Linked DNA regions of Notamacropus eugenii. The protein of the gene in region 1 binds, or shares a complex with, the protein of each later gene. Links are inferred from orthologs where the notes say so. Each region holds a gene or a part of one and is shown on either strand. Other genes may lie near its edges. The genes, in order: HCN2 and PEX5L.

What was found.
Region 2: the proteins of HCN2 (region 1) and PEX5L are in contact, whole or in part, in a crystal structure (PDB 4EQF), measured with the Mus musculus proteins. The link is inferred for Notamacropus eugenii from reciprocal best matches to the Homo sapiens genes HCN2 and PEX5L. Residues at the interface, in NP_032252.1 of Mus musculus: Leu859, Ser860, Ser861, Asn862, Leu863; in NP_001156988.1 of Mus musculus: Glu315, Glu317, Val343, Asn347, His426, Asn453, Arg454, Ala457, Thr458, Ala460, Asn461, Tyr472, Arg484, Tyr487, Asn488, Ile491, Ile494, Ile537.

The regions. Positions count from the first base shown.
Region 1 is NC_092875.1:69,345,108-69,355,690, forward strand, and holds the start of HCN2 (potassium/sodium hyperpolarization-activated cyclic nucleotide-gated channel 2), read left to right. Parts: upstream 1-6,551; 5' UTR 6,552-6,589; coding exon 6,590-7,344; intron 7,345-10,583. UniProt on the Homo sapiens protein: Hyperpolarization-activated ion channel that is permeable to sodium and potassium ions. Displays lower selectivity for K(+) over Na(+) ions. Contributes to the native pacemaker currents in heart (If) and in neurons (Ih).
Region 2 is NC_092877.1:344,268,480-344,278,531, reverse strand, and holds the start of PEX5L (PEX5-related protein), read right to left. Parts: upstream 3,929-10,052; 5' UTR 3,694-3,928; intron 2,460-3,693; 5' UTR 2,392-2,459; coding exon 2,299-2,391; intron 395-2,298; coding exon 323-394; intron 1-322. UniProt on the Homo sapiens protein: Accessory subunit of hyperpolarization-activated cyclic nucleotide-gated (HCN) channels, regulating their cell-surface expression and cyclic nucleotide dependence.

The DNA.
Region 1 (10,583 bases):
CACAGCAACTTTGATCACGGATCAGCAATGACCTATGACAATTCCAAAGGACTCATGATGAAAAATGTTATCCATCTGCAGATAGGGAATAGATGGATTCTAAGTGCAGTTTTAAGCATACTTTTTCTCCTTATTTTTCTTGTTTTTTTCAGTATGGCTAATGTGAAAATACATTTTGTGCAACTTCATATTTATAATGGATGTCTTATTTCTTGCTTTTTCAACTGGGTGGGGCAGGGGAGTGGAGGGAGAAGGAGAATTTAGAATTAAAATTAAAATGTTATTTTTTTTTAAGAGAGAGGGAAAAGATTATTGTATTTGGCCATTGAGAAATCATTGGAGAGCGCAGTGCAATGAGAAGGTCAAAAGCCAAATTGTAAGGGATTGTGTGTGTTCATCCTTCGTTGCCGAAGAAGACCATGCCGTCAGAGAAATAATGATATGACTTGCACTTGACTTTGTTTTGAGTGAGGGAGGACTGTGCAGGTCACCAGCCTCACTTCTCCTCCAGAGCCATCTGAATCCAGTGACCAGAAATTCATCAGGATGAGTGGAGATGACCCAGGCTGAGGCAATTGGGGTTAAGTGATTTGCCCAAGGTCACACAAGCTAGTGAGTGTCAAGTGTCTGAGATGAGATTTGAACTCAGGTCCTCCTGATTCCTGCACTGGTGCTCTATCTACTGCACCAGTTAGCTGCTGTAAAGGGTTAAGAAGAGAGTGAAAGGAGGGAAAGTGGAGACTCCTATTGTAGATAGCCTTTTTGAAGAATTAGTCACAAAAGGCAGAAGAGATATAGGAGGACAGTATGGAAGGACAAAGTGAGGATTTTTTTAGGATGGGGAAGACATGGGCATGTTTGTAGGCAGTAGGGAAGGAGCCAGTAGAGGGGGAGAGATGGAAGATAAGTGAGAGATGACAAACGGGGGAGTGTGTTGGAAGAGATAGAATCACTTGAACAAGTGGAAGGGTTATTCTTGGTAAGGAATCATGTGAGATAAGGGTGAAGGAAGAGAGTGGGGCAGAAGGCACCTGAGTGATATGAACTGAGAGAGAGTGGAAAAGAGGGAGCTCACAGTGAATGGCCTTGATTTTTTCTATAAAATGAGGCAGTTCAGTTGAGAAGGGAGGAAAAAGAGAGGAAGAGGGAGGTTTGAGGAAGGATGAAAAGATCTGGAAGAGCCAGAGTAGTGAGTGGGATAGTGAGTTGAAAAGGGAGGCATAGAAAGATTGCCTTGCAGCAGTGAGGGCCCAGTTGAGATTGTGTAACAAAAATTTGTAATAGACCAGGTGATTTTCTTCAGTTTCTTTCAGTAGCATGTGGTTAGGAGTGAAGGCTACAAATGGTGGGAGTGATCCAAGGCTGAGGCTTGTCAGGGCACAATCAGCAAAAAGATAAGGGTGTTAGGGATCAAAAGAGGATGACACTAAATTTGTTTACCATGGATCAAAATGGAGAAAATATGAGAGAGTAGCTGGTGCAGGGGAGATGGCCTAGGGGAGAATTCAGGGATCAAGGGACTGTAGGTCATGGTACAGACAATGAATAGAGTTTTATAAGGAAAAGCAGAGGGAGAGGTGAAAAGACAATAAATTATAGTCAGATGAGGGACTTTGGAATTCTTGAATGTGGTAGTGGTATATTTGTGGGTGATGATCAAGGGAAGGACCACTTTGTGTGCCTGACTGAGGTGAAGTGGATGAGCAGGTTATGGGAAGTGAGTAGGTTGAGGAACTGAATGGTTAGTATTTGAGGGATAGTCAACATGTATGTCAAAGTTCCCTAGTATGAGGACAGGAATTGGGAAGAAGAGAAAAAAATTCCACAGTTAAGAGGAAGCAGTAGTCTGAGGGAGAGAACCTGCTCAGCCCTCAGTCAGGTTCCAGACCAGCCAACGAATCTTCTCACAAATATATTAGCCAAGAGAGTGAAAGGTTGAGATAGTCCATCACTAATCCCTTTCCTTATGGTACAGTATCTTGAACCCTAGATCTTTTATGGTCTTCCTATTCGTGAGTGGTCCCTGAGGGGCATTGGAGCTTGTGCCAGGGGTAGGGAGTAGGGGAAACCTCAGGAACCGGAGCATTGGGTCACTCAACCCATGGCCTAGTATTCAGGGTCAGAGCCTAACTAACTCTAATCACTGATGAGCCCAAGTCCCTGCAGGGCATCCATGTGCATGCAGTGAGCCCCTGTGAGGAAAGATTGGAACATCTTTTCTCCTCCCTTTCTCATAATCACGACTTTTCAGCTCCAGACACCAGGGTCCTGGCTTCTTGCCCAGGGTGACATATTCCAAAGGCCCAGATCAAAGCCCTTTCAAATACATCCACCTCAGCCTGAACACTAAGCCAGACCCTAGGGGGTCCCGGGTTGACAGAGCCTGCTCTAAGCAGCCCCCATCTCTGTTTAACTTCCTTCTCAGCTGGGCAGGTCCAAGCAGGTCCAGCATATCTCAGACCTACCCTAGCCCAGGCTCTAACCCCTGTGGTAGAAATGCAAGCAGTGGCAGCTTCAGTACAGACAGCCTGGCTCTGCCTGTCCAAAAGCCCATCTGTCTCTCTGTCTGGCTGGCACAGGTAGAAGGAATATTAGGTCAAAACTAGAAGAAAACAAAACACAAAGTAGCAGAGCTGGAAAAGACCTTGGAACACAGAACGTGAAATTTAAAGGCATATTAGAACACTGGCTATTAGAGCTGGGAGGGACTTTGATGATTATCTGGTCCAGTCCCCTCATTTTAAAGATCAAGAAACTGAAGAAACAGGGGAAGGGACTTTGGAGAGCCTTCCGAAGATGACAATTGTGTTGGTAAAAGAATGAGATTATGTGGGCATGGGTGAGTTGAAAATGTTTCTCCTTAGTCTTGAGAGGGGAAACCACAATAACTTTGAAGTATTTGAAATAGGGGACAGCTAGGTGGCATTGTAATGAATAGAGTGCCAGGCCTGCAGTCAGGAAGACTCATCTTTCTGAGTTTAAATCCAGCTGCAGAGACTTACTAGTTGTGAGACCCTGGGCAAGTCACTTAACATTATTTGTCTCAGTTTCCTCTCCTGTAAAATGAACTGGAGAAGAAAATGGCAAACTACTCCAGTATCTTTGCCAAGAAAACCCCCAAAGGAGTCACAGAGTCATGCAACTGAAAACAACTGAACAGATGAAACAATGAAATGGGCATTAGACTTGTTCTGCATAACTCCAGAGATCTCTCATTAGACATGGTCATGTGATGGCAAGACCGACCACTTGGTGGAGAAGTCATAGAAGAGATTTTTGTTCAACTTCCAGGTGGTCTCTAAAGTTCCTTCCAGTTTTGAGGTTCTCTGATCCTGTGACTTCCCAAAGTCATACCAAGACTTATTGACTGATCCAGGAGAATATAGATTAGATCAGATTAACCTCATTTCCTTTTGTGAAGGGTTATTAGTAGAATGAGTAATTCTGTTGCCATAGGACATTTGGATTTCAGCAAGGTCTTTGGCAAAATCTCTCATGCTGTCCTTGTGAATGATGTCCTTTTCATTAATTTTTCATTCATTCATTCACTCTTTCATTCATTCCTGCTATCCTTTTTGAGATGATGAAGAATCATGACCTGAACAATAGCAGAGTAAGGTAAAGTCAGAACTTCTTGAATTGATCTTACACAGAGCTGTCATTAATGATTCTATGTCAACTTGGAGGCCAGTTTCTGGTATAATTTCCCAAGAATCTCATTCCTGATTCCTGTGGTGTTCAACATTTATAAGAATGACTTAGATGATGTCCTAGAAGGCATGACTGTCAAATTTGCAGATGACACAAGGCTGGGAGGACCAGTTAACATAATAGTTGAAAGTCACAATCTGAAAGAGCTCAATGGACTAGACTAATGGGCAGAAACTAATAAGATAAAACTTAATAAGAGACATATTAAGTTTTACACTTGGATTCTGTAAGTAAAGTTCACAAGAATAGAATGAGGGAGATATGGCAAGTCACTGGTTCCTCTGAAAAAGATCTGGGGGTTTTAATGGACCTCAAGTTTAGTATGTGTCAACAGTGTTATATGGTAGCCAAAAAAGATAGCCCATAGGGCTATAGTGGGTTTCCAGGAAGCCATGCACAAGATGGATTGTGTGATCTGCATCTTTGATAGGAATATTCATAAAAATCACATCTCAGATCCACTGAGGTAGATGTATCCTAGGTGGAATTAAGAGAAAGATGGTGTCCAAAACCAAGGGGGTTCTTGGATAACTGATCCAACCATATCTGAAGGATCATGTTTAGTTTTGGAGAAGGCAAAGAAAATGAAGCAGGTGTTCAGAAAAGTATGGTCAGGATGGTGAAAGAACTAGAGAAAATGTTGTATAAGAACTGGTTGAAGAAAATGGAAATGTTTAGCCTAGAGCAGTGGTTCTCAAAGTGTGGCATATGGCTTTCTAGGGGTTCACAAGAATACTCTCAGGGAATCTGTGGGATCTAATTTTAATAATGTTAGTAAGATGTCATTTGCCTATTTACTCCTCCCTTTCCCAATTACATAGATGTGGAAGGTCAGATTTTCTTCATACGCTCCAAACAAAACAACACATCACAACAGGTTGAATGCAGAAGCAGATAGGAAAATTTAACTGTCTTCAAATAGGCCAGACATTAAAAAGATTAAAAAAAAACAAAAACAAACCAAGGTAAACAATTTCAGTCTTCTCACTAATTTGTTTTGGAAAATAGTTGTTTTTCACCAAAATGTTATTTATGTTAACATGTGATGGGTTTATTATTGTTATTTTAATGAATTAATAAATTTTTAAATTTTTATCAGTTTTAATTTCTCATGTGGTAAATATAAAAAAAATATGACCTATATAAACAAAGGTCTTTGGGGAGTTTCAATAGTTTTTAGGGTGCAAAGGGGTCTTGAGACCAAAAAATTTGAGAACCACCTGCTCAGAGAAGACTTGTGTGATGGGGGTGGAAAGCATGGTGGGTGCGTGTGTATGTGTGTTTGTGTGTGTGTATGTGTAAATGATAGCTGTCTTCATGTATTTAAAGAGTTGAATGAGGAAGAGAGTTTAGCTTTGTTTTGTCTCCAGAGGGCTAAAACAGTAAACAATGGGACTGAAACTTCAGAGAGGCAGATATAGGTTTGATGACAGGAAAGCCTTTCAAGCAATGAGAGTGTCCCTCAGTAGTGTGGGCTGCCTTGGGGTGTAATGTGTTCCCCCTCACCGTCAGTCTTCAAGCAGAGGCTGAATAATCATTTAATGAGGCCATTGTGGAAAGGACTCAGTAACTGATTGTACCAAAAAACCTCTCAAGTTTCTCCCTGCTCCGACATTTGGTGACTTGTTTCCTGTGACTCTGTAGGGTTCCTTTTCTACTTAATAATGCCTATGAACAATCACAGAATAGGGGGTTCCTAGCCCAAGTCCCAGTTTGGGGGAAGCACTGGCCAACTCATCCATCCCATCCCTTATGTCCACCTCATGCTGGAAAAGGATGGGGAAGACAGAAGGAACCTAGCTTTGACTGTCCCAGTTTCTCAGCTCCTTTGGGAGCTGCCAGTTGGAAGACAGGCCAGGAGACCTCAGCTGCCATCAGCCACTGGGATTGGGGAGAACAGATGGACTGTCTTTTCTCCTCCTGTCTTCTGAAGGATGAAGAGATCCAGCAGCTGAGCCTTTGGGTAGGTGGGTGGGTTCAGTCCCCTACCTACTTCTGAAACTGCCTACTTGATGAAAGTAGCCTAGGGATAGTCAACAGGAATTTAGAGGATCTATATCTTAAGAAGAATATTCTATGTTCTAAGATCCCTTAGAGCTCTGATATTCAGTCTTCTAAGCAGCCTAATACAGTGAAAAGATCACTGTCTCGAAAATTAGAGGTCTTAGGTTCAAATCCCAAGTATCTGAAGGACCTTGGATGAATTTTTCACCCTTTGGGGCCTCAGTTTCCTATTAAATGAGGGTATTAGACTGGAGAGCCTCTAAGGTACTTTTCAGTTACACATTCTTTCCTGAGATCTAACCCCTAGCCCTCCAAATGCTGACATCCTATATTTCAAGGTCCCTTCCAGCTCCGACATTGTATGTCCTAGGTCCCTTATCACCTCTGACATTCTGGATTCTTGAGTTCCAGATTTTCTCTTCCCTCCCAGCTCTATGTTGCCAGGTACTCCTCACAGCACCCCAACTGTGACATCCTAGGTTCTAGGTCCCTTTCGACTCAAACGCTCTGGGTCCTGAGGACCCTCCCAGGTGTGACATCCCATGTTCTAGGTTCCTCGCACCTCGGACATTCGAGCTCCTGGGTTCCAAGTTCCCTCCCTTGCCCCAGCTCTAGACAGTCTAGGTTCGAGGTCCCTCTCAGCTCGGACACTCTGGGTCCTGAGGTCCCTCCCAGTTCTGATATTGTGAGATGCCAGCCTCTTCACCCCGCGCCCGCTCCCCCTCTGCCCCTCCGCGCCTTAGGCTCCTCCCTCGGCTCCTCCCGGCGCGGCGGCGCGTGTGCCTGCCCCTCCCTCCCGGGGTCTGTTGGTCCGCTCCCCGCCTCGGGCTCGGGGCGGCCGGGCGGACTCCGCACTGCCCAGCTCTGCGCGGCCATGGACGGGCGGGCGGGCAGCGCGCGGCCCGGGGAGGGCCAGGGGCCGTCCCCGGCTCAGCCGCCGCCGCCTCCGCCGCAGCCTTCGCCACAGCAGCCCCAGTGCCCGCCTAAGCCGGAGCCGCCGCAGCCCGAACCGCAACCACCGCCGCCGCCGCAGCAACAGCAGCACCCGCCCGAGCGGGAGCGGGAGCGCGAGCCCGGCCCGGGCGGCCCCGGGGGTCCCGGCAGCCCCGGGGGTCCGGAGCCCGAGACGGAGCCAGAGCCTGGCGGCCGGGCCCGGGGCAGCCTGAGCGCGCGGCCCGGGAAGCCGCCCCCCGGCCCGACCGCGGCCAAGGGCAGCCCGAACGGCGAGTGCCGGCGCGGGGGGGAGCCTCCGCAGTGCAGCCCGGGCCCCGGCCCCGGCCCGGGCCCCCCGGAGGATGCGGCCGCCGCCGCAGCAGCAGCAGCACGGGGCCCCAAGGTCTCCTTCTCGTGCGCGCCCGGTTCCGGCCCTGCCTCGGGCCCCGGCTCCCCAGGGCCAGCTCTCAAGGCGGGCGACGAGGCGGGGCCCGGGGACTGCGACGAGGCCGGCCCCGGCGGGGAGGCACGGGGCAGCCAGGCGAGCTTCCTGCAGCGCCAGTTCGGGGCCATGCTCCAGCCCGGGGTCAACAAGTTCTCGCTGCGCATGTTCGGCAGCCAGAAGGCCGTGGAGCGGGAGCAGGAGCGCGTCAAGTCGGCGGGGGCCTGGATTATCCACCCCTACAGCGACTTCAGGTGCCCGCCGCCCGGCTCTACGGGGCAGAGGGCTCAATAATGGGGGCAGGCCTGCAGGGGGCGCTGGGGGCGAGGAGGGAAGGGGCGTCTGGAGGTGGGAGGGAGACCCTGCAAGAGGTTCTGGAGGTGAAGGTGAAGTGGGGGGGGGGGTCTAGTGTTGGGAGGGGGGAACTTTCAGGAGCGACCAAGGTGAGGAAGGAGAGAGTGGAGAGGGGGCTGCTGGAGGGAGAGCTGACCTCTGGAGTCACAGAGGGGCGTATTGTTTGGGGCGGGGGGAGGTCTAGGGATTGAGGGTCGGAGAGTGGCACTTTGTATAGGGTCTGGGGACTGGAGGTCAAAGAGCGGCATATTGTATGTGGAGGGGGAGGGGCCTGGAGAGAGGGGGTCGGGGTAGCCGCATAGCAGAGGGGCGAACACGTCAAGATTCAGGGATCTAGGAGAGATGCCACGAGACCTGGGGAGTGCTTCTATGTGAGGAGGAGGAGTGGGTGGAGAGGTCGGTGAAAAGGACGAATAGAGGGGAAGGTCAAGGAATTGGGAAGGCCCGAATCTTTTTGGAGGAACCCGCCCAGTCCAGACCTGGGCAGCTAGGGCAAAGAGGGCACTGAGGAAGGACGGGGAAGGGGCGGGGGCAGCTGGGAGGGATTGGACGCCAGAGCTCCCAGGTCGGGCTTTAGGTGCACCGGCCTGAGGAGAAATGTTAGGGGTGGAGGAACAGAGCCTCAAGGACGTCGGTCTGAGAGCTGCCCTTCCTCTCCACCATATTAGTCTGGTTCTGAATCTGAGAGGGGGAGGCCCCTGTCTCTTGTTTTCTGTGTGTGACCATGTGTCACTGTATGTCTTGGTGAGGTACATGTCTATGTGAATGGGTGGTTTGACTGTGAGTTTGCGTTATCTGCGTGTGCATGTGTGTTATCTCTCTCAGAGTTGTTTGTGTGGTGGTGTGGTGTCAATATATGCACATGTGTCGGTGCGGTGTGTGACACACTCAGATTTTTGTTCTGTAAAATATAGACATAAAAAAGTCTTCCGATGCCTTCTCCCAAGTCTCTGTGCTCTAAGTCTTTCAGCACCAAGGACAGCAGCGCAGGACACTCCACTTAAGGATCTTTACCATGCCTGCTCATGCCCGAGTAACCACCTTCCTGCAACCGCAGGGCTGGGCCTTGGGCAGCTCCCCCCTCCTACTGTCCTCCCTGTTTGCTGTCTTCTGTCCATCCCTGTCCTGTCCCTCTGCTTATAGTTTTTTGCTTAAAACCAGATTGAAAGCCCCCTAGATCTTGTCTCTTCTTTCCCCCTTGTGTTTCCTTCTCTCCCATCTACATATGCCTAAACATGCTATTCTTAGGGGAAATCTGAGAATTGGAGGTCCAGAATAGGGGGAACAAGAATGCTTGGGCCCTATTCTATTGTCAGTCCCTCTAGGCCTCCATCCCTACTCAGTTTCAGGGGGCAGAACTTCACCCCTGTTTTGTTCCAATCCTACTGAACCTAGTGAGAGGGGAAAGGAAGGAGGCATTGTGTTGTGAAAAGAGCAGAGGATTTGAAATCAAAAGATCTGAGTTTGAAGCATAAATCTGCTACTTACCACCTGTATGACCTTGGGAAAGTCCATTGTTCTTTCTAGATCTGAAAAGTGAGAGAATTAAACTAGATTATCTCTAGTTCTGAATTCTGTGATTCAAAGGTGTAGGGAGAGATTTTTGGGGGGAGGGGAGGGATCTCAGAAACAATATGGAGGATTCCTTCAATTTCCTTGGGGAAAGGAAGTTCTTTGTGCTACACTTTCTTCAGGAAAGTGTCTTAGGGACCCTTCCCCAGTCTTTTTAGTTATATTCTGAATCTAGGGGCATGTGCCTGATCTTCCCGGGGCGGGGGGTGGGGGGGAGAGGCAGGATGTCTCATATGCTCAGTTAGTTCTCTCTAAACAAACCTCATTTTGAGAGTAGTGAAGGAAACATGGAACTAGGGAATGCAGAACACTTTTGTTCTGGGCCAAATCATTCTTTTACTTCACTGTAGAAATCCACTCAAACCACTCTCCTCAGGGTCACAGTTTGCCTTTCTGCAAGATGGGTAAGGAGAAAATATGGATGGAATGTTTTCCTTTGGGAGTGTCAAGAGGATGACTGACAGATGCCTAGCACTCCTTGGAGACACCAGCAGGGAGGGATAAGGAATTATTCTTTCTCTTTGCAGAATGTCCCCTACCCCCTTCCCAAAGTGGGTCTCTCTCCAATCATCCTATGTGTGGGTTGACCAAACGGTCCCAGTCCCACTTTGGACTTTGGATGGCTCCTTAGGGTGAGATCTAATTCTAGGGTAACTACTTATAGACAGGGCTACTTGCCCTGGGGGACCTAGGGAAGTCCCTAGGGAATCACCCTATGGAGGAAGTATTTTTTTTTATTAAGAGAATTTGTTCTGTGAAGTTTGGATTTAGTCAAAAGGCCACACTTGAGGACCTAGAGGGTCATATGTTACCTCAGGGCCACAGGTTCCCCACCCCTGATCTAGACCCTCCCAACCAGTGGGCTTCCCTAATCCAGGAGAGTTAGATCACTTCAGAACTCCATGCTTTTGAGCTGGGAAGATGATCCCACAAAGAATAGTCTTCCTTGCCTACCCCTTGGTGTTCCAAACTCTCTGAACCAAACCACTCCAGGATGAAATTAATATCTTGGAGAGGAAGTGGTGTGGATAGAGAAGAGGTTGGGGATCCAGGAGGTCTGCGTTTAGTATAATATAAAGGATTGAATCTGGTGTCAGAAAACCTGGACTTCCGTGTTTTGACTGTTGTGTTAGCTTTTTATGTGACCTTATGCAAGTCCCTTCCTCCATATGAGCCTCAGTTTCCCTCTTTCTAAAAGGAAGGGATGGGAGTGAAGTCCTGTCCAACTCTAACATTCTGTGCACTATATTCTTAAGATCCCTCCCAATTCTGACATGCTGCATTCTAAAGTCCCTCTCAGCTTGGATCTCATTTGATTCACAGTTGGATGAAATAAGAGAGGGAGTCCAGATGTATGGGACAGGTTAGATCTCTTGGTGAGAGGCACTGGGGACATCAAGGTGTGAGAAGACCCTGAATCGTCCACAAGGAAAATTACATATGCCTGATTCCTATGCTAGGAAGACTTCTGATTGTAAATAAGAAAGGACCCCTCTAGACACAAGTCTGCTCCTTCCTGGGGCCAGTAAGTAGGGCCAAGAGAGAGAAGCCACTCTCTGACTATTCT
Region 2 (10,052 bases), on another chromosome or scaffold:
TTGGCTGACTCTTCAAAATTTCTCTTATCTTGTTTTGCCTGTTCTGCAACATATTCATCCACAAACCATTTTGTAGGTGGTCCTTGACTCAGGCAACCCGTCAAAGATGGTCTCAGAACCCATCTTGCTAGGAAGGTCATAGATAGAAGAGAAAGCCCATAAGGACCAAGGCGAATGAACTCTAACACATATACACAGACAAATGCACAGACACAGACACAGACAGACACACACACCTCATAGGACGTCAGGTGCTATCAGGTATGTCAACATTCAGGAATATTGAACAAGCAATAGGAAATCAAAGGAAGCATCCACTTACCTGGTTTTGATCAACAATTATTTCGATGTCTTCATCACTGCTTAGCTTTCCATATCCTTTTTCTTTACTTTTCTTGTGAAAGAATAATTTTAAAAAGCATTTCAGTAGCTCGGTAATTTTGAAGCATCATTGATCTCTAGTCTCTTTCCATTAATAACTGGTCTAACTCTCAGTTAATATTCAATGGTAAAAAATGAATCCCTTTATTTCCCCTATGGCTAGTCATAATTCATTAAACATTCTGTAGCTCTTACATGTACATAAGCAAAGGTCCTCTAGTCTCGCTAAGCTGTTGGTTGCTTAATAACTCAGTTTTCATTTTTGTTGACTTCTCTGCTATCCGCCCTCCCCTCTTTGTACCCTCCAACCAAACTTTAGCTCCCTTCTCTAGGGAACTTGTTAATTTCATGGTTCCTGGTCAGTTTGAGTATTATCTAGGGAGACTTGAGCCATTACTAGTAGAAGAGATTCTTAATGATTTTTAGGTCATGGACCCACCTGGCAGGCTGGTGTAGCCTATGGACCCCTTCTCAGAATGTTTTTAAATGCATCAAATAAAGTACATATAATTACAAAGAAAAACAATCATATTGAAATATAGCTATATTATTAAGGTATATTATTATTATCTAGTTAAATATATGATATCAAGATTTATTATTATTATTATAAATATTAAGAAAACAAGTTTCCAGACCCCAGATTCCAGACCCTGCCTTAGAAGATCATAGTGGGCACACGTGGTCTTTGCACTTCTTTTTCAGTCTTGTAATTGTGTAAATAGGTGTTTAAGACTGAGGTGATTAAATGTTTGGCTCTCACACATTTCCTGAATCAGGGGAAAATGTTCATGCCCATATGACAAAATTAAAGTTGTTCTCTCTTTGTACATAGACCAGATGAGAATTACCATTGGGGAAACCCTCTGAGATAATAGTCACAAGATGGAACAAGAAACATTTTTAAACATTAAGGACATTGTTTAAAAGGAGAAACAAACAGATGATTGGCTAGATTGTACAGCCTTCCCACTAGCCTGACTATACTCAAGCCCCTCTTCTACCCTGATCACCACACCCCCAATCACTTCCACCAACGTACACATTCTTGTGAGGCTTTAGTTTGGAAATGGAGAGTAAAGATCATTTTGCTTCTGTCATAGTTGTGAAAACGAAGCCTGACTTCTTGCCTATTTGAACCCCACCTGAACCCCAGCTCAAGCTCTGTTGTTTCCGTGTAATTTGGGTCAGAAAATCCAAGATAAAAATACCTGTGGCCCATGCCTGTCATACTAGATGATCCCTAAAGTCATGAAAAAAATGACTAAATAGACACCCATACCCCAAGTTTATTTTTTCAAATGACATTGGCTTTTGTGAGTTGTCAATAAAAATTAAGAAACTTTAAAAACCCCCAACTTTTCTGTACTCTCAGCTGGTGTAAATTAGAATATACCTGTCCTTAAAGGGTACTGGTGTCATTTGAAAAGTCATAAATCTTTGAGAAACTAGTGGAGATAATATTTGTCCATATGCCAAGTCCTTGACCACTCAAATAACATTTCTACCCCAACTTTGCACAGCCCCCTGTTACCACCCCCCCCTTACATAATGAATGAGACAGCAGTAGTGCCTTCTCTAGCAAAGGGAGTCCTGAGTCCAAGTATACGGACGTAGACCTAAAACCTGTGCTTCCATTCGTTTATCCATGAATTTAGAATGGAATGGAATAGATGGTCATGGTGTTTCTCTGATTTTTTTTTTTTATCTCATTTGAGGTTAAATTTCAGGCTGGATGGAAATCAAAAAGAGCTTGGCTGACTTCCATCATCCTGCTTCTTCCTACCCATTCCAGTTCCCATCACTTTACACTTTGACCTTCTCAGTCTAACTGGGTGTTGGGAGGTAAATCACTCAGGCCATCTAAAGGAACGATTGTTTCAGAGAACCTCTTGGATTATTTGTATGTATACCTACCAAGTAGCTGACTTGTAGGGCCAGTTTTCTGGACAATAGGGCATTAAAGAGAGATGGGACATGAGTCCTTCCACTCATGTCACTCTTAGACATCCCAGAATTCCTTGCACCAACTGAACTGTGGCTTCATTGCCAGGGTTTGGCACAATAGGACCCTGAATCTGGCACAGCGATGACATTTAGAACATGCATCAAGGACTGGAGCATCCCTGAAGCAGTCTCCAGCCTGGGCAAGTTGTCATTGTCTCTCCCCCTTCCTCCCTCTTCCCTCTAGCCCTCTCCCTCTCCTTCCCCTTTCCTCTTTCTCTCCTGTTCCTAGCTCATATGTCAAGATGGGGCAGGCCATTAGCACAAAGAGGAATCGAAAACTTGATGGCTTCCTTTCCAAATTCTCCTTCTAGGGCATTTCTGTCCCCAGCTGAAGCTTCTTTTGAAGCTCATCTATTATTTACTCTTTGTTTCCTTTCCCACTCAATCCACTCTTCCATTACACTCTGTGCCCCCTGGAATAAAGCCCTTCCCATTAGCAAAGCTTTTCACTTCTATCAACATTTTCTCAGCTCTTTGGAGTTGAGAGTTCTGGGTTATTATGAACACAATTAGAGAAGAACCTTTCCTAATCTCCCAAACTCCATTTCTGATTGACATCTCTGCCAGGTCTCTCTCTTTCTCTGTCTGTCTGTGTCTCATCTCCTCTCCTCTCCTCACTCCATCTCTTTTCTTCCTTTTTTTTCACTGTCTCTTTCTGTTTGATTCGACTCTCTCTTTGTAACTCTCTCCCTGTCTTTCTGCTGCTTTCTCTGTCTCATCTCCCTTCCTCACTCTCACCCCTCTTTCTCTCTGCTTTCTTTCATCTCATTCTTTTTTCCTTCTTCACTTCCTCCTTCCCTCCCTCCCTCCTTCCTTCCTTCCTTCCTTCCTTCCTTCCTTCCTTCCTTCCTTCCTTCCTTCCTTCCTTCCTTCCTTCTTTCTCTCTTGCTCCCTCTCTCTGTCTCTGTTTTTCCTTTTTGTCTCTCCTTCTGCCTCTCTCCCTCTTCCTCCCTCTTCCCTCTAGTCCTCTCCCTCTCCTTCCCCCTTCCTCTTTCTCTCTTGTTCCTTGCTCATAGCCTACTTTCCCCTGTAATTGTGGTCTCTGATTCAAGCCGAACTCTATGGCATCTGGTTACTCAAAGTGAACAAGCATTAGTTCGCATCCCGAAGTGCTAAAAGACAATCTTCCTGAGCCCTGCCTTCTTAAGCCCCTGTTCAATAGCCAGCAGCAAGCCCCTCCTGCACATGGATCTTGAGCCCTGAATCTCCCACACTGGCTCCCCCAATCAAGCCCATTTCTGCAGTCGCCCCTCCAGCCCAGGGAGCTAAACACTGCTCTGCACTCTTGGGCATTCTCTCACTTACTGTTTATTCTAGTGCAGCAATAATCCTCTTTCAAGCACTTAGCTTCGCACTTGGACAGCTGGATCGCCAACCCAGACACTTCTTCAACTGGACTAGCTTTCCCCAGCTGGGAACCCTTGTCTTCTAGCTAAGTTCTTCTAATGTTTACCAAAAAGAAAAAAGAAAGAAAAAGAACCCTTCCTTAACACCATTCAAACCCCTAACTTCCACAACCCTGTGTGGGTTTTGGGAGCTGAAGGGCTAAGCAAGAGGGAGAAAGAAAAGTAATCTCAGCCCTTGTCCAACCCTGAGAGGCAGGGCTTCAGTGGGAGGAGAAGAAACTTCCTGTGCTCCTCCCTCCTCCTCTCACTGAAGAAAACAAGTCAGTAGCTGGCAGTATCATTTAAGGCCTTGAGTCCATACTTCTCCACACTTCTCACCTTAGTATTTTTGGCAACAGAGACAGAAACCAGGTTCCATGCTCAGTGGAAAAAAGGATTTGTTCTAAAAATCAAAGGATCTGGCTTGGAAACCCAACTCCACCTTTTTCACCCCTGTATAACCCTGAGTAAATCCTTTCACCACTCTGGGCCTCAGTGTCCTCATCTGTAAAAGTTGAGGCTTGCACTAGCTCGAAATCTGAACTACAGGAAAGTGAGGCATATGAGGTATAGGGCATAAGGGGAAAACAGGACATCTCTCTAAACTCCCCCAACATACCTCTAACCCTGAGACTTATCCCCATTTCATTTTAAGAACAGTCACTTTTAAAAACTTATTTCTTTTGTTTTTCAGGAGGAACTGGGTGAAAGAGACCCTCACACCTGCTTTACCTGCTCACCATCCTAGGACTAGCTTCATAGACTCTCTGAGTGAAATATAATGGGTTAAAGTTTGAACATAATTTAATCTGTTTCTTCTAGAAAAGTCCATAGTTACCTTCTTAGGAACTATGAACCTGGTAAATACATAGAATCTTAGATCCAGGGCATATGGATAACTTTCAAAGTCATGTAGACTGAAACATTTCCTCCCCATTTTTTTAAAACTGATGTTGAAACCGAGGCCCAGGGAGTTAGGATGACATGTCCAAAACAACATAGGTTGTAAGTGGCAAAGGTGAGATTTGAACTCAGGACCTCCAACTACACACCCAGATCACTTTCCATTGTACCACTCTATGTCCTATCCTGTTTTGCTTCTTGTAGCTGCACACTACTTCTCTACCTCTTGGGCCATCACCAAAAAAGAAGAAAATGTCCCAAACTAATAAGGATCATATTTTATACATGCCAGTAGAGTAAACTTTAAAACAGGAAGATTCCTTTGGAGGAAAATGGAAAATCATGGAAGCTTAGCCAGAATACATTACACAGGAAAACTTTATAAGCAAGAACTTGAGAAGATTTCACAGTATATAGTCTGGTCTATTTGAGTATAAATTAGAGGAGGAACACTTTTTTCTACAGAGCAAAAATAATTAAAAAAATTTATTGTGTTTTCAGGTGAAATCTACACCATACAGCCATTTTGAATGGCTATTTTTACATATGAAGTAGCTGTCTCATCATAACTCTGAATCAGTGAGCAGAATCAAAGAATGAGAATGGATCTCAGAGGTCACTTAGCCAGCTATATTACTGAAAATCCCCATTACATTATACAACCTTTGTTTCAAGACCTCCAGGGAGGGAGGATCCCATTTCCTTTTTGGACTGCTCTAAAAGTTAGGAAATTTTTCTTTCCATTAAGCCTAAATTTGACTCTTTGATACTTCCCTCTAGTTCTGCTTTCTGGGGAGTAAGGAGAAGAGTTCAGTCTTCAACTCCCCAGTTGGGTCTTCCAACTCCCCATTCAGTTCCTTTTTGATCAATACTAAACTGTCTCTCAATAGTAAGATTCTGTAAAAATGAGGAAGGATTGTACATTATAGATTAACCTCATGAGAATCTCTGTTTTAGTAGAAAGAATGATAAATGCTGACTTTTTAGATTTTGCTTTTTGATGCATACAAAGTCCTTTACAGTCAACATTTTGTTTGAGCCTCACAACAGCCCTTTGAGTTACACAATATAGTTCATGAATTATTATACCCTTTTCATAGATGGAAACACTGAGGTTGGGGTATCAACAAATCATTTACAGATTATTAACAAGGTTATAAGATAGGGAAGATCATGGTATAGTACTGTAGATAACATTAGGAAGACTTAGGTTAGAGTTTTGTTATATTTGTCCATGGGACCCTGAGCAAGTCACTTAAATTCCCATTCCCAAGTCCATAAATTACAAAGGAGAAGCTAATATGCATTGGTGGAGGGAGTTAATGTGCTGCGAATGAATGAAATCAGTCCTGGATGAAAAGTAAAATAAAATAATTCTTGTCGAAATATACTCTCTAATCAGTCTTATCGATTTAATCCTTCAGTAATAAGTAGATATAGTCCAAATTGATTAAATAGCTGCATTGACTGGAGCAGGAATCAGATTATGTCTTCTGACATATATGCACATATATATATATATACATATATATATATGATAAATTGTCTAAAATATGAGAGTATATAATCTAGTCTTAGGAGGAAAGATGCAGTCAGTGAACCAGAGTGTGATTGTGCTGCTTTACTAGCTAGATGACCTTGAGCAGGTCTTCTCCTTCCTGGACCTTGTTTTTCCCAGCTGTAAAATGGATGTTAAACTAGGTGACTTCTGGGGTCCCTTCTGGCTCTGATCTATGATCCCATAAGCCCATGACCTCTCTGAGATTCAGTGGTGCCTCTATAAAATGAGAGGTTGGACTAGATCAAGGTTCTTATTAATTTTTTGTATGTCAGACACGTATGGCAGTCTGGTGAAGTCTGTGGGTCTTCTATTAATAATGTTTTTGAATGTATAAAATAAAGTACATAGGATTATATTAGAAAAGAGTTTTGTATGTATATATATATTATATATGCATGTGTGTCTATATACATATACCTATCTATCTATATATGTATGTGTGTATATGTATATGCATACTGATATAAATATATGTATGTGTATATATATATATGTACATGTATATCTGTGTGTGTGTGTGTATGTTTACAGGCTATAGATTAAGAACTTCTGAAATAGGTGGTCCATAAGATTCATTTGCAATTGGCAGTCCTGTGGATCTTTGTGCCAATTAAAACTATAAAACTGAGTAGTAGTAATAAAGTGCTTTATTTCCTTACAAGAACCTTTTGGGGCAGATAGTGGACTTCTTACTATTCCCATTTTACTGATGAGAAAAGTGAGGCCCAGAGAGGCTGTGGAGCTTTTTCACTATGACATAGCCAGTAAGTGTCTGAGGAAGGATTTGATCCTATCTCTTGATTCCAAGTTGTCACTCCAACCACCACTACTTCTTCATAGAGCAAGCCAATTTACTTGGATTGATTGATTCTGCCTGTCCTCCTGGAAAAGAATTCATGAGTTTAGACACTCAGTTTTTCTACCTGGTCAGTTACTTAACCAAAGCGGAACCCTCCAAAGAAATGTCACAAGAAATCTTTGTCTCCAAGCATCTTTTCATATTTGGCTTTAGTTAGAAAAAGCTGAAAAATCCCTTTGCCCAGAAGGGGGAGAGTACGTGTGGCACATGATGCAGAGTCAGAAGGGGAGACCAACTTCTTCATAAATTGGACATTGGCTGAAATAATGATAAAATAAAGTCATATTCTATAACATTTGAAGGTCTTCAAAGTGATTAACCTCATCACTGGGTAGTGCAAGTATTATAAACCTTTTTTATAGCCAAGGAAACTGAGTTTCAAAGAAAGGAAAGGATTTGTTTGGGTCACATAGCAAGTTGGGGAGGATGGAAGAAAAATCACAGTCTTGGTCAAGATTGACTTTAGTCATGAATAGAAAATCAAGGAGCATGGATCAGGCACTAGTGGACATGACTTTCTTGAGCTGCTTACTCTGAGCAAAAACGACTTGGGTGGTGGTGGGCGAAGTAAGGAGTAGGGCTCTGCCCTACCTAAAACCTGTTAGGAAAATGCTTTAGTAATTAGTTTCTCTACTCCAAAAAATGATTTCACCTTTTGAAATTAATCTATACCAAATAAGTCATAGGGAAATTAAAAATGTTGAAATGAAATATAATGATAAGTAACATTTCTACATATGCAAAACCTTTAAACGTGTGATCTCATTTGATCTTTGCAGCAGCCCTGAAAGGTAGGTGCTTTTATGTAATTATTATTCCTATTTTACTGATTAATAGATTGAGTCTCAGAAAGGTTGACACCAAAAGTCACATAGCCTATTAGTAACTGAGAAAGGATTCAAAACCAAGGCTTCCTGATATAGAAATTTAATTTTCTTCTTATCTTATTGCCTAGTAGGAAGCATAGGAAGCATAGCATTGTGGGTTAGTGAAGCCAGCTCATGACCTTTAAAATAAGCACTTTTCTCTTGATTTTTTTCTTATTACTGCTAAACCAATCAGCACTTCAGCATTGGCTCCAGACTTTCTGTGAGTCTAAAGAATCAGGGCATCACTACAACCTGAGAGAGTAATATTCCTAGGGGAAGAGGGAAAGAGGCAAAGGAGAAAATAAGGAAGAATAAATCTAAGTTCAACCGAGTTATCACTTATCTTTTAGATGACTGGCCCTGGGAATACAAAGACAGACACTACTAAGCTTCTGCTCTCAAGAAGTTTATGAGAGGGTTGGAGGGAACTATATCCTGAAATAGCTCTGACAGGAAGATATAAGGCACATAGGAATAAAATAGCAAAGGAGAGGATTAATTAAGGACTTGGAGAAATTTGTGAGGAAGAACACAATTTTAGCTGAGAAAGAGCTTTGCCAACGTATCCTGGGGCAGAATAATTTGAGAACTTCTTACTCCTCTTCTGAGAACACATTCTTCCAATAATCCAACTTCTGCCTTGGGAGGTAGTGAGTTCCCCCTCATTGTGTGGCTTTAAGCAGAGCTAGATGACTTGGTTGGGTAATTTGTAGAAAGGTACAAGTTAGACCAGATGGCCCTTTAGGTCCATTCCTACTCTGATATTCTGTGATTTTTGTAAACAATCAACAAGAACTTGTTAATTGCTTACTATGAGTCAGGCACTGTACTAAGCATAGGAGATATAAAGAAAAAGCAAAAACAGTCCCTACTGTTTTTGAAAACCTTATAATCAAATGGAAGACAGCCTATATAAATCAGTTGGATTTTCCCTCACCCAGTGGACTTATTTCAGGAATTTCCCTTTGCTGTTTATAGGAAAGCAGACATCAGGGGTGGGGGGCAAGGAAGGTCACACCTGCAACTGCCCGTTGGTACAGGAGCCAATAATATAATTCCTCTGGAGTAGCTATTTTTTTCCCTGAAAGAATTTCAAAACTGTATCAAAATCAAACTGTGAGAATGTGAAGATAAGACAAAACTAGCTACAGGAGGCATTTCTCTCCATCTTGAATTTGGGGATAGATAATCCACCAATATGTTGTCACTGAAAGTCACTAGGGATGAAAGGAAAATGAGAGAAGGCATGTGTAGACAACAAATGGCAGGGTTTCTTTAATTGCTTTAGAAAGCTCCTCTGAAGCCATCCTGCTATGTCCAGGCAGTCAAATACTCAACTAACACCTTCTGTAGGAGGTCTTTCCTGATCCTCAGCTACTAGGGACTTCTCTAGAATTGTCTTCCATATAGTCAACAAGTATTTATTAACCATTCACAGGAGGTCCCCAATTGTATTAGGCACTGGTTGTAGTTATGAAAACCAGATGACATGGTCCTGTTTCTTGAGTAGACAGTCCAATAGGAGAAATAGGACAAAGAGAAGTGAAATTTCAGGGGAACAACTACTATCCAAATATACTGACCTAAGTGTTGCTCCTTACACATTCCTCTCAATTTCCCATCTCCCTGCCTTTGCACTGGCTAGAATACTCTGCCCCCTCACCTCCACCTCTTAGATTCCATGGCTTCTTTCAAAACTTGGCTCAACTGGTACCTTGTGCAAGAGGCTTTTCCCATCCCCCATCAGAGACTGGTGCCTTTTTTTTCTAAGGTTAACTTGCATCTACTTTGTACATATCTCCTTTATAGCTATTTATTTTAAGTTGTTTTACCTATTAGATTATAAGTGCCTTGAAGGCAGGGGATACTTTGCTTTTTCATTGCATCCCCAGTGTTTCGCACAGTGTCTGGCACACATGTACTTAATGAATATTTGTTGGTAGATCGACTGAAATAGGTCCTTGGTTTCTGCTTCTATGTGGGACTTCCTTCCAAAGTTATGCATCAGCCCACTCATACTGACCCATCTGTGCCCATCTTTCCTTCTAGTTGAATCACATTCCACCTTACCTCCCCCCAACCCTGAT